Linked DNA regions of Rhinolophus ferrumequinum. The main gene of each other region encodes a partner of the protein of the gene in region 2 in a complex. Links are inferred from orthologs where the notes say so. Each region holds a gene or a part of one and is shown on either strand. Other genes may lie near its edges.

Region 1 (7,990 bases), on a different chromosome or scaffold from region 2:
GTGGCTGGGAGACCAGAGTCATTGGCCAGGACTTCTTTTAGTTCCCTTCACACTGACAGTGTGAAAAACAGCAGCACCCCAAACTTTATCAAGATCCCCAGACTGCTGGTACATGGGCCACATTAGTCTGCAATACCAGTTTAAGCCCTGGATCCTCTTGTTTTCACAGTGCCTGAAAGTAGTCAACAAAGAATTTAAAGGGCTATGAAAAGCCTTCATACTTGGCACACAGTCAAGCCAACAGCAGGTTCTTACTAAATGAGTGATAACCAGTAATAGAAATTTAGGATGTGGATTAGAGGTCATCAGAGGAAAGGAGCTGCTTTAGAGGCAGAATAGCATAGTTATAAGAGCAAGCACTAAGGAGGAAATCTGTGACCTTTTCAACTTCTACGACCACTCTGTGCCTCGGTTTCCCCACAACAGGGATAATACATAGGGTTGCTAGATAGATTGAGTATGTGTAAAACCCCTATTTAATTGCTCAATCAAGGCTTTAATGTTATTACCATTGCAACTGCTCTAAGACAACTGGCCCTACCATTACCAGTACTGTATAGTATGACGTGCTATGAGGTTGGCAATCAAAACGCATCCAAAGGAGTTTCACCAGCAACCAGAGTGTAACACAGAACTCTTTACAACTCCTTTAGAGACAGAATTAGAGGGAGGTCTACTGCTGATAGCACTGCAATTTTTAAAATATGTAAACCTCCACCTTGTTTTGCCAATTGTCGGAGCCAATCATGCAACCACTCAACGTGAGGTCATAGCAATGAATTTCTACATTGGCAAGAGGTATCTGAAGAAATAACTCAAATCCACACATCAATCACATAGTTTTCAAGTTGTCTCCTAAGCTGGAAAATGAAAAATAGTTGTCTTGTTTAGTTAAAGACAATAGTCGTTTAATGAGATGTTCGCTGCACCCTACTGTATACACTTTATGGGCAGAATGACTCTAGCATGTATCAGTATATCCTTGGGTGAGATTGTGCAGACCAAAGTGAAGAATCCAAAAAAAAAAAAAACAAAAAACAAAAAAAAAACCCAAGTATCCAAACATCCCCGGAAAAAGAAATTTCTTTAGATGGTTTATGTTCTTCCACTTTTCTGATTCAGATGTACCCTAAAACACTTTTTTCCCCCACAGAGAACAGAAACACTGTGTTCTCAGTTTCAACTTTAGTTTCATCCTTGACAAAACAAAAATGGGAATGTACCATGTAAATTGGCTGCTGATCCTTCATCTTTTCCAGAAGCTTTACTTCAGAATTTTCAGCCATTCTAAATGATATATACCGGCTTCCCCCAAAATAAGATGTAGCTGGACCATCAGCTCTAATGTGTCTTTTGGAGCAAAAATTAATGTAAGACCCGGTCTTATTTTACTATAAGACTGGGTATAATATAATATAATATCAGTCTGGGTCTTAGATTAATTTTTGCTCCAAAAGACACTTTAGAACTGATGGTCCAGCTACATCTTATTTTCAGGGAAACACGGTATCAAAAAGGTGGAGGTAGTGTTCTAAACTCAGATCGAAGATTAGACTTGTTAATAGAATGTTGATCCCATGAGTAATGCTCACAGCTGTGGCATCCAACAATGGAATTAACATTTCAACAGGAAGTAGAGAGCCATCCCAACAGAAAGGGCCACCTCATCCTGCTTTGGAGCACTTTAGAAATTATCCTTCCGGAGGATACACAAAGTGTGTCTCCTAGGGTCCCCACCTATGGATTTTTTTTTTCTTTAACGAATCATTTAGGTAAAAAAATGAGACAAGGGCTTACTCTGACAAACAACATTAGTTGGTTAAAAAACTGACAAGGAAATAGATCAGTCTTTTAAAGTACCAAGGATTATGCTTTCTAATGGTCCACGCGTTTTTTTAAATGGCTTCTTTTCCCTCCAGAGAAAGGCGCAGTGGAAAAATGGGCTTGGAGAATCCTTTAGGAATTACCCTGTACACGTCATCCCGTCTTATCTTCAAAAGGAACCACCTCCTTATATACTCAAAACCCATGTTACGAATTTCTCCTTCGCACTTTGCACCCGGAACTGCGGAAATCAATACTGCATTTCTGCAGGCACCTACTCTTGATTTCCCAAGGTCTACTCCGAGTTACCGTCTAGCTGGCAGCTCGCGCCTGGGCTAGCCTCTCCGACTAGACCAGGAGCGGGAGCCTTCCCGTTCTTTCAGCGCCTCTTTCCTAGAGGTAGCCTGGACGATCTCAGGCACTGAAAAGCTCAGTGTCCATTTAATCATGGCGTTTGTAATTCGGTCTCCTCGCTTGGACTGCTCGACACCTGAAAACTCGCCGCCCAAGGCTTTTGAAATCGGATAAACCCGGACGGACACTACACCGCGGCTAACAAGGGAAGAGCAAGAGCAAATAAAGCAAAGCCCGGACCGGCGGCCAAGAATGGAGTGGGGGAGATGCCAGGTGCACCCCGCACGCCGCGCGGGGGAGGCCCCTCCACCGCCGCCCCTTATCTCGGGGCTCGGTCCCTAGCTCAGCCCCCGCCCCCGCCCCCGCTCCCCGGACACCCCACGCCCCCGCATGGCTCCCTTCCGAGCCGCTCCGCCTTCGCGGCTCGCGCACCCGGCCGGGCAAAATCACCCCATACAATTCCACCCGCACAACCACGACAGCCGCAAAGCCCCCAAATCGCACCCGTCCTCTCCCCGCCCGCCCGCCCCCTCCCCCACGCCTCATTGTTCCCGGGTGGCCGCAGGCGGCGAGCGCCCCGGGTCTGACCAGTCAATGGGGACACTAGGGATAGAATTGCTCACACTCACCAGCAACTCCACACAGGAGGAGGAAGAGCAGCAGAAGCCCCATGGTGGCGGCGCGGCCGTGGGCGGCGACTGCAGGTAGGGGGATCTCGCCCGGGGTCTGTCTCCCGGCGCCTCGCGCGCTCCCGACTGGCAGGCAACTGCGGCACCTCGGCACCCCAGCCCCACCCCGCCCTCCTTCGCTCGGCAGGTGAAACGCGTCACTTCCGGCAGTGGCTCGGCCGCGCGGGCGCGTGGGGTTGCCATGGCAACCGCGAGCCGGTCGCTGTGCGGGGAGCTCCTCGGCGGGCGTGTGGTGCTGGGAGCGGTGGCTCTCCGCGGCTACTCGCGCCAAGCCCGAGCCTGCGTCCCCGCCCCCATGCCTTCGGTTAAAGCAGAGTTTGTGCACTACGGTCGGGCCCGCCCCTCTCCAGACAACTAAAATTGCGGTCACGCCTTTGCTTCAGGGCGCGCCAGCGGACAATACTCGTCCGCCTGCCGCAGGGACCTGAAGTGCGGCTCTAGCATTTGGCTGCCCGCGCTCACCCCTCCCTTCTCTTAGGGTAGGAGTGGGTGGGGCGTCTCCAGCACGCGTCCCGCCTGTGAGGGTTTGCTGCGCTGCTCGGAGCGGCCGCCTAAGGCTCTGGGGAAGGGCACTAACCCCCAGCATTTGCTTCGGTCTCATTGAGTCGGATGGCCTGATGGAGAAGGCTTGAGAATGCTTTTCCTCATTTCCAGTAATGACTGAACCCCTAAACTGCCGCTACGGACTTGGGCAATACCCAGACTGGCTTTCCTCGCCTTGAATTTAAAGGTTATTCTGGCCCTGAAATTGGCCAACAAAGACCAGTGAGCTGGGAAAGTGGGGCTAAGTGAGGATATTTAAAGGCTTGGGGTAGGAGGTTTGGGGGACCGGGGAATTAGAGATCGTGAATCACCGGGTGCAATGTCCCTTCTTCCTCCTGGTGCCCTCCACACGTGTTCTCATTTCATTTCCCTGCGTGTACTCAGTTGCTCAGGTAGGTTTATTTATAGCTGCCGATTCACCTGTGTTTCCCATCTGTTCCATATCAGGCATGAATTAGAGGAGAGAAGCAGCGTTACGCAGTGGGTAAGTTTTTGGGCTCCGAAATGAGTCAGTAACTGGGCAAACTATTTAGAAACAGCTCCTACCTCTTGGGTAGCTATGAAAACTAGATGAGATAATGCAGGAAAGAATGGTTGGCACCATGCCTGGCACAATAGTAAATAGTAAAGTGGAAGCTAATGAAATTAATATTGGAAAATTCTTATTTATTGAACCAGAAAAATCAGTTATCAGGAAAACCAAAACTGCCCAACTGCAATTTAGCTTGTAGTGTGCAAAAATACCACTACCTGAGCCCCACTCCAGAGATGCTGATTTAACTTGTGTAGAGTGGAATCCTGGCTGATTTAAGAAGAGTTCAGAGTAACCACTAGGGACTTCCTATTAGCTGAAGAAACAGGAATTCTACTGGATATAAATGAAGATATAAAATATTTGGAACCTAAATTTTTACTCACCACATTATACTTTATGAAATTAGAGATTAAGCATTGAAGTTGTTCATATCTATTTCAGACTATTTTATGATAACTTTTCTAGTACTAATCACTAAAAAGTAGCACACATTTGTTATAAAATTGCTGCCGTGAGTGTCTTTTCCACTGGGTTGAAATTAAACCCATTCTACAGGGGTCATCTCAACCACATATTAGAGGAAACCTTTAGAAATTTCCTAAAAGGATATTCATCTTAATTCTTTTCCTTCTGGAACTTTTTTTTTTTTAACATTCCTTACATTTTGCCTCCTGTGGTAGGTATTTTCATGTCTATCAATCACTTCTCTTACTCTTAATCTTTCTAGAAGGCCAAAAAGGCACTCTTGGAAGTGCAACCCATAGTAGATTCTGTAGTATTTGTTGAATGTAAAATATTTAATTCATGTATTAATATATCGACATATATTGATAAAAAAGTACCTCCCAAATCATTACATCTTAATATATCTTTTTAGACTGTACTTTTAACAATGTAAATTTTACAAAATTAAGGTTTTATGCTTCTTTAGGTTATACTTCCAAATGTATCATCTCTAAGAATTAAGTAACTTTGAAAGGAGCAGTTTAATCTTTTTTAGGGAACTATTCTTTTTTAAAAATTATATTAAAGCTGGGGGAAAAATGGGGAAAAGTGATATGTAGTCATCTTTGGACTTTGGTTGTGACTACATTATTTCATATAAACAGTAGCTAAAATTATGCAGTTATCTGAAACTTTTTTTTTTTAATAATGTTTTTGAGATTCATCTCCTTTTTTTTAAATTGGGGAACAGCGTGTTTCTCCAGGGCCCATCAGCTCCAAGTCGTCCTTCAATCGAATTGTGGAGGGCACAGCTCAGCTCGAAGTCCATTTGCCGTTTTCAATCTTTAGTTGCAGGGGGCGCAGCTCGCGCTGTATCCAACTAAGCCATCCGGCTGCCCCTGAAACTTCTTAACAACACCTTTAAAAGCCTTTGTAGCTATTGTAAGTTTGTCAATTGTCTCCTGGAAGCTGTAATGAAATAATCTCATTAATTCTGGAATGTACAAATTGTTGATTGTTTGGCATCTTCAAACCAAGGTAACAAATAGTGCACAATCATTAAATGACTTGCCCTATCTTGGCAAAACACCAAGCACTCCACATTATATAGCCTTTAAACCAGCAGAAAGGTGGTTCTTGGCCCCTCAAAGAAGGTGATAATTAATTGTAGAGACATAAATAATTCTATGGCTAATATAGCATCTGTCCTTACAAAGATTTCTCAGCAGTAATGGATTTTTCAACACACCTACAGATGATTCAAATCCTATAATCACATTCAGAGATTGACTTACACTTAAGAATTAAAGGATTCTCACCTCTTATCATCCTGGAATATGAAGGCATGTGAAGCAAGAAACTTTCTTTCATATGTGACACTGCTGATTTTTATATTTTCTGGAAAATAGTAATGCTAGTATCAAGGAGTGAAGGTTCCTCACGAGTGTGTCCCTATATTACCAACACCATTGGTTTTAAATATTTTTTGAGGTGGGAGGATGGTTGATACCATCCCAGTCTTCTATGTGCCGCTAAGGAAATGAACTTATAAACACATACATTTTTATAATAGTTTTATGCCATATATATAATATTTATAAGTCAACCCTTAGCCAGTGACCCAGAACTTTGTTTAAATTCCTAATAATGTGGATTCCAAATGAATAGACAAAAGTGATCAATTTATACGGACCAAAATTGAGGATTTTACTGATGGTCTTTTAAAATGTTCTTATCTGGGGCAGCCGGTTAGCTTAGTTGGTTGGAGTGCAGTGCTCATCACCAAGGTTGCCGATGTGATCCCGACATGGGCCACTTTGAGCTGCACCCTCCTTATAAAAAAAAACAAAAACGTTCTTATCCAAAAATGAATCTTGTTTCTTCCAGTTGCTTTCTTCTTCGTTTCTTCTCTGTCAGATGAGCTCCATCACTCTCTTCTCTTCTCAATCGCCCTCTAACACTCCTGTTCTATGAGCTGTACAGAGAAATCAAACCACATCTTCCTTCGTTGGTGACCCCCCAGGTTTTTTCACTTAGCTGCTCCACTCAATTTGTTGAATCACTTGAAAAACAGCATCTGGGTAGAAAAATTAAATTGTCAGGCATTTCCTCAGCAACTTTTCCTCAAAATATCTAAATTAGGGCATTTCCAAGGTCTCATTTTGACTTTCAGGGGACCTATGAACTTTTGCCTTTGTGGACCTCTTTCACCTCAAAAAATATTTAAAACTGTCTTTTACGACTGTGTTGGTATAAAGGCAAATTTAATCCAGGCTGGATCATATTATTATTTCTTTTGATTCTAAAAGAAATGAAAATGTTTTCATAGGCTCTGGATCAATTGCTCTGGGCGTTGCTTGTCTCCCTTCCTCCCCTAATCTAAGTTGTTCTGGTGATACTAATAATATTAAAGATTTTCCTCCGAAAGGGAAGGAAAGGAGTGACCTTATAAATTTCCCTCTCATCTCTGTCTCTATGTCACCTCTTTTGCCCAAAGTCCCCTTTCTTATAGTGTCTTCATCTCCAGTCCCTTTCCTTTTCTTCTCTTTTCTTCTTAGGCCAAAAACAATCCACAAAGTACTAAATTTGCCCTGTGCTAAAGATAAGAAAGACACAGGTACATACCTAGGCATGAAAATTTATTGCTTGTCTTACTTAAGCTCTTTCTTTGTTTCCACAGTTCCATAGTTTGTATTTTGGCTTTGAGATGTTTTGTTTGCCCGTTTGTGTATAAAGAAATAGGACTGGTAGAATAAACCCAGAGCATATATCCTCTTTCTAGGATTTTACGCTAACTTTGATGATGACCTTTAGAAAGAAAATTAAACTGAACTCTGTCATGATCCTCAGGAAGAAAGAATTACAATGTCTGGTGTCTGTGGCGTACATATAGGTTGTTTTGAGAATACATGACTTGCACAGTGCTCTGGGCATTTTAGATCAAAGATGCTGTGCTTACCTAGTATTCAACCCATTTAATTCATACCCAGACAATAAATTTAAATATTACAGAAGTGGATGGAGCCTCCATCTACTTTATATCTTGCTGGTTTCTTTTTGGCTGGAGACAGCTTTCCATCTGATAGGTAATAACAATGCTTTCCATTTATAGATCGTGTAACATCTTTTATCCAAGGAGTTCAAAGAACTCAGCAATTATGACTCACTGTTCCTTAAGATATCTCTACAAAGCTCGAGATGACACACATTGTGATAAACTGGTAATAGGTAAAGAAACTGGAGTCACGGAGATGTTAACGTGTTCATAAGGTATTTTAAGAGACAGAGGTGGAATTCCGAATAAGTCCCCCTTTCTTTGGATTAGACCATAATCAGTAGCATATATTCCCTTCCCATGAAGATATATTCTTCAGGGGCTTCAGTTTTGTTTATGATGAAGGTAATACTTCTTGACTCGGAGGAGTTTAGCTTTCACATACCTCTCTAAGCTCATCCCATACTCCCTACCCACCCATGCCTACGGCCACTTTGTAGATGCTGTCTCTCCCTTCTGCCTGTAATATTTGACCTTCTCAAGTGGGTATCTCCTAGTTATCCTTCCCATTTCAAATCAAGTGTCCCTTCCTAAGAGAACCCTGAT
Region 2 (7,501 bases):
AAGCTTCTCTGAACTTCATTTGTCAAAACAAGATTAATCTGCTCCCCCTAACTAAATGGTCTGCCTGCCCCTTTCACTGTTCATCTTTTAGATCTCAAGTTAAATGTCATTTCCTCAGGGAAACTTCTCCTGAACCACCCTTCCTAGGTCAGGTGCCTAGGCACATGTTTTTGGTTTTTTTTTAATATTTTTATTAGGGAACATTATTAATATTGGGGAACATGTGTTTTTCCAGGACCCATCAGCTCCAAGTCAAGTCTTGTTTTTCATGTTTTTTTTCAATCTAGTTGCGGAAGGTGCAGCACACTGGCATATGCGGGAATCGAACTGGCGACCTTGGTGTTATGAGCACTGCGCTCTAACCAACTGAGCCAACCAGCCGCCCAACCAGGCACATGTTTTAATAGTACTGTTTACCTTTCCTTTAGGGCACTGGTCACACAATTTTTAATTATCTATTTACTTGTGTGCTTGTTTGATTAAAGTTGCTCTCCACCCTCACCCCTCCAAGACTATAAGCTCCATGAGGCCAAGAGCTTTGACTATATGCCTCTGCATCTCTAGTGCCAGCTCGGAGTAAGGCGCAGGCTGAGCCCCAGCAACCACCTGTCACATGAATTAATAACACCTAACAGGGCCAAAAACACTCTAGTAAAGTTTCAATTTCCATTTCCTAGTTAGTTGGCAAATATTCAGAAATTCCTCGTTTATATCTATTAGTCTATGGTAAAATCAGTTTTGGTGTACATTGTTTCCTTCAAAGTCCCGGTTTCCAAAAACTTATGGACGAAATTAAGTGAGGACTTACTGTATATAAAATGAATCTCAGTCTTTAAAAATACAATCAAAGATTTCAGCTGCACCTTGATAATAATAGACTACTTGAATTCTCAACTTCGACCCTGCTTCCTTCTTTACGTACTGAACTATCTCCTCGGCAGATGTTCTTGAGATAATTCTACATAGTAATTTATCGCACACGTTGGCCAAACGTTTTGACCTGAGCTCATGCCTCTTTCATAATTCCTGGCAAATATCTTCTATCACTCCTGGGGAGCTGTAACTATCAGGATTTCCTATTATTAATCGTGTTGGGGAACTGTTATCCTTGGCACAATAAACACAGAACAAAATCTTCAGAAAAGAGACTCTTGACAATGAGAGTACCACACAAAATGTGAAAATGACCCCCACATATCACAATATTACAAGACAAGAGAGAGGTGCTGCCTCAGAAAAGTGTCTGCCCCTAATAATGACAACCAACCACTGAGCAAACACAACTGCACAGCCTTCCCTTACTCACACAGCCTGCTCCACCTAGAGTGCTGTCTGTGTTCCCTCAATTTACACATGGCTGTGTACCTCTGGGGTCTGCGATGTTTTTAGGTATACAAGTCCATATAACCATTCTGAAGCATCATGAACTTCTTAAAATAAGTCCTCATTTTTCTTTCCAAGACCATTTAATACAGACTGGTAGGTTACATGGCTTCTTGTAACACAGTCTAGTTCACATCGTTCAACCCTTTACTTGAAGACTACCTTGGAAGTCAGTATTCCTTCTCACTCCTTCTGACCAGGTTACACCTGAACCATTCTACATCATTCTTTCCTGAGATCAGGGTTATGCAGAGGATGTGACAAGTATGGACAATAGCCTTGCTCTAGTAGAAGGTTTAAGTTCCTCACTTCTTCAGGTTAAGTATTAGCCTATATAGGATTGGGAGAAGAGAAACAGCGAAGGAAGACTCTTGCCATGAGTTCAAGGACAGCTAGTCACAGCTCTACCTAAAGCCACAGGCAAGTTAAAAGCAAAAGCCTTCTCATCATCATCATCATTTACTCTTTTATTAACAGCAAATCTTACTCTTTTCTCTGAGGATCACCAGTTACTCTGCACTACAGAAAGGAAAACTGCACCCACTAGACTACCTTATGACAGCCCTCCTGCAGAGATCGAGAGTTCCGTGATTGTGGCCTCACGATACAAAAGGATTGCCATTAAATTAACACTTTCAGAACCAGCCTTCCTCTAAGAGAGAAAAGTTCAAATCACTACTTAAGAAATACAAAGCAACTGCTTACCCAAGATGAAGAGAAGCAATGCACTGAACTCTCCCACAACTGCAGTTCTCAAGTCCGACTGCAGAGACTTCTGCCAGCGCAGGGTCAGGCTCAGAGCAAACCAAATGCGTGTGTTCTGAGGTGGCTGCAGAGACACAAACAGGAACCTCTGAATTTAGGTTCTCGTTTCAGTTATCTGGCCCATTACCCAATCTTTATTAATACTTTCATTGTAAAAAGAGGTAATAAAGCCAACTTACTGAGGAGAACCTCATATTCCAGACCTCTGCAGGTATCAACTCCCCTTCTGGAGTACAAGCTCTCCGCGAGTGGGATCTTCAAGGGCATCAGGCAAACATTTGCTGAGAAAGAAATCTGCCTCATGCAAACAAAATACAGTAAATTTAAGATTAACACAAAGCATTGTACCCTGTGTTTAAACTATAGCAACCATTCTTATTTTTCAAAATAAGAGCCAGGCAATCCCCCAATTCCTGCTTCCACAGATATGCCTCCTCAGTCCTCCAACTCATCACGTAGACATTTCAATTTCCTCTGACAGTATGGTATCAGCATTTCCAGAATATAAGTAGCATTTTTATTCCCCCAGAGAATCCCTTAGGTGACTTAGACATCCTAGGTAAGAACTCAAGGCTTCTTCACTTCAAGGTATTTTTGGCTTTTAAGTCACCACTTCAAAATAAGTGTTCTCAATGTACACACCTCTAACCTTGGCTGGATTGGCTTGACCTACATACACATGGGCATGCTTGTTTTTTGTAACTTGACCTGTATCATTTGAAAAGTTGTTGAATGCTTGCTCTTCTCAAAGACTATGCTCCATGATTCTTGAGAAGCGGTGTGCTGGTAAGCCAGCAATTTAAATAAATACTCCCACCATGGCACACTGCAAGCTACCAACAGTTTAACAACCAAGAATTGCAAAATTCCTAAATATTTAACAATGAGCTCTTGCTGTGTGATCTGGCTCCAGTACACTACTGAATCTATGCAGGTTCTTGCTGGGGTACAGCTCCAAGATGAATAGATGGTTGCTTGATGCTGAAAACCACAAACCTCTTTTCATATGACAGTTCTCATCTTATAGGTAGATATACACCAAAAGTAGCCAGAAAGTGCAAAGATGTTTATTAAGTATGTTATGGTAAAAATATCAAGAGTTACAATGCTTGTGAACATGGCCCAACAGTGCATATCCTCCTAGAAAAAAAAAACAAAAAGAACGCAGTGAAACGCAGCAATTAACAATCGAGCAGTACAACACTGGGGTCAAAAGACCAAAGCTGCCTTTTCTGGCAGCAAGTTTTGAGTTGTGCAATTAAATGATAGTCTTGGTCCATTCCCTATGGATCTTTTTATGGCTCCCCGATGAAACCATAACTGAGTGACACAACAGAGCATTCAGAATCAGGATTTGGCCTCCAGAATTTTTTTAAAGCAGGGACATGCAACGTTCCCTTGTAAAGCACCAGTGCCCAATTTGGGATCTGCAGAGAAGCTGTTCCCAAAGAAGCCTGAGGTAACAGGCCACGTGGGAAACACAAAGCATTTTGAAAGTTCACATTTGGTAACAGAATTAAGAGCTCGATGCACAAAACTCATAAAGTAATGTAACCATGAGTAAAGACTTCAGCAGTCGAAGAAATATTCTGAAAGGCTTTTAAGCCCTTCTGAAGCCTTCAGAATTAAATTCCCTTTCTAGACAAGGCTGGTCTCCATACAGTGTGATAAGAACTCGTGGAGCAGCGAAAAGAAAAATAGAGAATAGCACCTTAGAAGATATTAAAACAGACGGTTAAAAAACACACACACACTTTATCTTCCTTCCATCCTTCAAGAAAGCAGGTGTCCAAACACAGCTTTGTGCTCCTTTGAAGAAGAAGAAGAGCTCAACATAAGCGATGAAGAAGAAAACTGATAGCAGCCTTATGACTGTGACGTGAACACAAACCCACGGAGCAAGACTAAATTATCAACTTAGTCTCCTCCCATGAAGGACTCTATTGTTCAGTCATTTTAAAAGGACTGGTTCAAATCATGATCAAGTCTACAAAATTACACTACTAAGGATTCACACAGCACCATATGCCTAAAGTGACAAACATACCACACAGTATTAATCCTCAAAACATGCCCGAAAGGAAATTACAAGCAAACCTAGCTAAAACTGTTTCCCCATTTAATGGGATGTGGCTTTCACTGGCTTCCCGTAACTTCATCGCTTTCTCAGATAAATGGGGACCCAAAAAAACTCTGCTTCACAATTAGATCTCTATCTTCAAATCTCCTAGCACCCAATTTATTTATTGTCGTCGCTCAAACTGCTTTCTTGTCTCTGTTGAGGTGCCAGATTGGCCCAAAAGATTGACGCCAGACAACCACATACTTAACAAGTAGCCCAAGACTGTGAGGTTTAACCACTGGAAATGTAAACTGCCAATCCTGTCGTGCCTCTTCTACTTTTTTCCATGACTAGAGGTAAGTCATGTCTATTAACTAATCAGAATCTCTAATCTACAGACTAGGTTAAAAGAGGCCAGGGCAAATCCATGAGACAGAGCTAACAACCCAAATTTTTAAAAATAGATGTTGGCAAAAAAATGTAAAAGTTGTTTTTTAATAACATATACAATGTATAATGCTGTAATATGGAAACCTCCTGAGCCACCTAGTGAAGATCCATGAAAAGGGACTATCCTACTGAAAAAACAAAGCTGGGGGGAGGGAATAACTTTTGTCTCTCATAATTGAGAAGTGAACTTTATCACTCTAGTACAGAGGACTACATTGTCAACCCTTCCTGACATGTCATATATATTTCTTAATGGCTTATAGAAATTCCCATATAAATCAAAATTTGAAATAGGTTGCTGTAGGAAAATAGAGGAAACTGATATAAAGTATTGAGAGACCAGAAAGGAAAAGTATAGGTGATGCACAACATCACTTCCTTATCTCAAGTGTTATGCAAAAACAGTTTGTAAATACCTCAGTTCACTGATATTTGGTACATTTTAGAGTCAAAAAATTTCTGAAGAATAACACAGGTTAAAAAAGCATTTCACTGCAAATAATTAGTAAAATAGTCTATATATCCATACAAAACCTTTTGAAAAGTTCTTGCCTCTGATCTGAAAAGTCAAGAAGGAAACCATTAATCAGTTAGCTTTAAGAAAGTAAAGTAACAAATTGCACCTGGCAAATTGCACCTGTACCTCACACTTCCTTTCCTTAGTTGTAAATTGATGACACTTTAATACTTTAAAAACCCAATCAAAGCAAACCACTGATTCTTGATCCTACCAGCTCTAAGGAAACTAGTGTTATACACTCCAAGAAACTCGAACATAATCAATGAGATAATCAAACCAATGAATATATGCTGTGTGCTAACTCACAGATGAAAATGTTCACGGAGCAAAAAAACTAAGAATCCTTATTCCAAACATTTTATCCGGTAGCAAGCACATCAAGAAGCTACAAGCTCCATTTCATTAAAAAAAATAATAATAATAAGTTTGGCATCAGAAGTGTGGCCAATTCTTCCTCAAATAATTGGAAGAAAACATGTAATACATTCAAGAGCAAAGATCAAATAAAAAGTATCTTTCTGTTCAGGAAAAGAATGCCTTCATTCAATTAGAGTATAAGTTATTAAAAGGGATAGGTATGAGTCTCCTCTGAAAGCTTTTGAACAGTTTATTAATACAAAAAGAACATTTCTTCAATAAATAAATGGTTCCTAAAGTCTTTACTTATGACTTTCAGAAACCTCCATCATTACTGTCCAGGCCAGCTCCACTTCTTTGAGAAGATTTAGCTGCCAGTGGAATGAGATATTTTCTGTTAGTAGGTGATTCTTCTAATGTCACGCAGATTTTCATCAGTATGTCTCTTCATAGTCTGAATCCTGGAGGAGAAAGAACAGTAGTTGTGTGTATGTGATGTATATGTGAAGTATATTGCCACAGTCAGAATTTAGCCAAAAGTCACACATTACCATCCCATTTTATACATCCCACATTACACATTTATTGGGGAATATTGGAGAACAGTGTGTTTTCCCAGGACCCATCAGCTCCAAGTCAGGTCGTTGTTTTCAATCTAGTTGATCAAACCAGCAACCTTGATGTTATGAGCACTGCAGTCTAACCAATTGAGCCAACCGGCCACCCACCAGCAGCTCAGCTCCAAGTCAAGCCGTTGTTTTCACTCTATTTGTGGAGGGAACAGCTCACTGGCCCACGTGGGAATTGAACCGGCGACGTTGGTGTCACAAGGGCTGCGCTCTAACCAACTGAGCCAACCGGCCGCCCGAAACTCCTCTCATTCTTTAACATACTCATATACATGCAACCCATCAGTAAATCCTTCTGGCTTTACCTTCAAACTATAATCAGAATACAACCCCATCTTCCCACCTCTACCACCACCACCCTGATCCAAACTAACACTAACTTCTCTCAATGGCATTATTGCTAAAGTCTCCTAATTGAGTTCTCTGATTCTCTCAAGGTCCCTTACCGTCTATTTTCAACACAGAAGCTAAAATGATCCTTTTAACACATACATCAGTTCATAGTGCTTCTCTTGTCAAAAACCTCCAGTGGATTCTGTTTCATTAAAAATAAATGTCTTCTCAGAAAATTACAAGACATTGATTAAAGAAAAAATTAAAGATGATACAAATAAATGGAAGTATATACCATGCTCATGAATAGGAAGAATTAATATAGTTTAAATGCCCTTATTACCCAAAGCAATCTATAGATTCAATGCAATCCCTATCAAAATACCAATGGCATTTTTCACAGAACTAACAAATAATCCTAAAATGTATATAGAACCATAAAAGACCCCGAATAGCATAGCCATCTTGAGGAAAAAGAACAAAGCTAGAGGTAGCATGCTACCTGATATTAAAATATACTACAAGGCCATAGTAATAAAAATAGCATGGTATTAGCATAAAAACAGACACATAGATCAGTGGAACAGAATAGACAGCCCAGAAATAAATCCATGCCTATATGGTCATTTAATCTATGACAAAGGAAGCAAGAATGTACATTGGGGTAAGAGAGTCTATTCAATAAATGGTGCTGGGAAAACTAGACAGACACATGCAAAAAAATGAAACTGGACCACCTTCTTACTCCATATACAACAATGAATTCAAAATTGATTAAAGACTTAAATGTAAGACCTGAAACCATAACACTCCTGGAAGAAAACATAGGCAATAAATTCTCAGACATTACCCTTAGTAATATTTTTATTGCTGTATCTCCTTGGGGAAGGGAAACAAAAGAAAAAAATAAATAAATGGGACTACATCAAACTAAAAAGTTTTTTCACAGCAAAGGAAACCATCAACAAAATGAAAAGACATCCTACTGAATGAGAGAAGATA

What was found.
Region 1: the proteins of JAML (region 2) and CXADR are in contact, whole or in part, in a crystal structure (PDB 3MJ7), measured with the Mus musculus proteins. The link is inferred for Rhinolophus ferrumequinum from reciprocal best matches to the Homo sapiens genes JAML and CXADR. Residues at the interface, in NP_001005421.3 of Mus musculus: Arg57, Asp59, Ala69, Tyr72, Phe75, Tyr77, Leu80, Val82, Glu120, Arg122, Ser127, Met128, Val129, Met130, Lys131; in NP_001020363.1 of Mus musculus: Thr23, Gly51, Pro52, Asp54, Glu56, Leu58, Ser60, Gln65, Ile66, Val67, Asp68, Gln69, Val70, Leu73, Tyr83, Lys121, Lys123, Lys124, Ala125, Pro126, Gly127, Val128, Asn130.

Annotation. Positions count from the first base shown.
Region 1 is NC_046285.1:87,474,248-87,482,237, reverse strand, and holds the start of CXADR (coxsackievirus and adenovirus receptor), read right to left. Parts: upstream 3,022-7,990; 5' UTR 2,851-3,021; coding exon 2,808-2,850; intron 1-2,807. UniProt on the Homo sapiens protein: Component of the epithelial apical junction complex that may function as a homophilic cell adhesion molecule and is essential for tight junction integrity.
Region 2 is NC_046294.1:87,587,285-87,594,785, forward strand, and holds the start of JAML (junctional adhesion molecule-like), read right to left. Parts: upstream 3,062-7,501; 5' UTR 2,328-3,061; intron 2,213-2,327; 5' UTR 2,089-2,212; intron 1-2,088. Other genes in the region: MPZL3 (myelin protein zero-like protein 3), read right to left, coding at 5,972-5,998. UniProt on the Homo sapiens protein: Transmembrane protein of the plasma membrane of leukocytes that control their migration and activation through interaction with CXADR, a plasma membrane receptor found on adjacent epithelial and endothelial cells.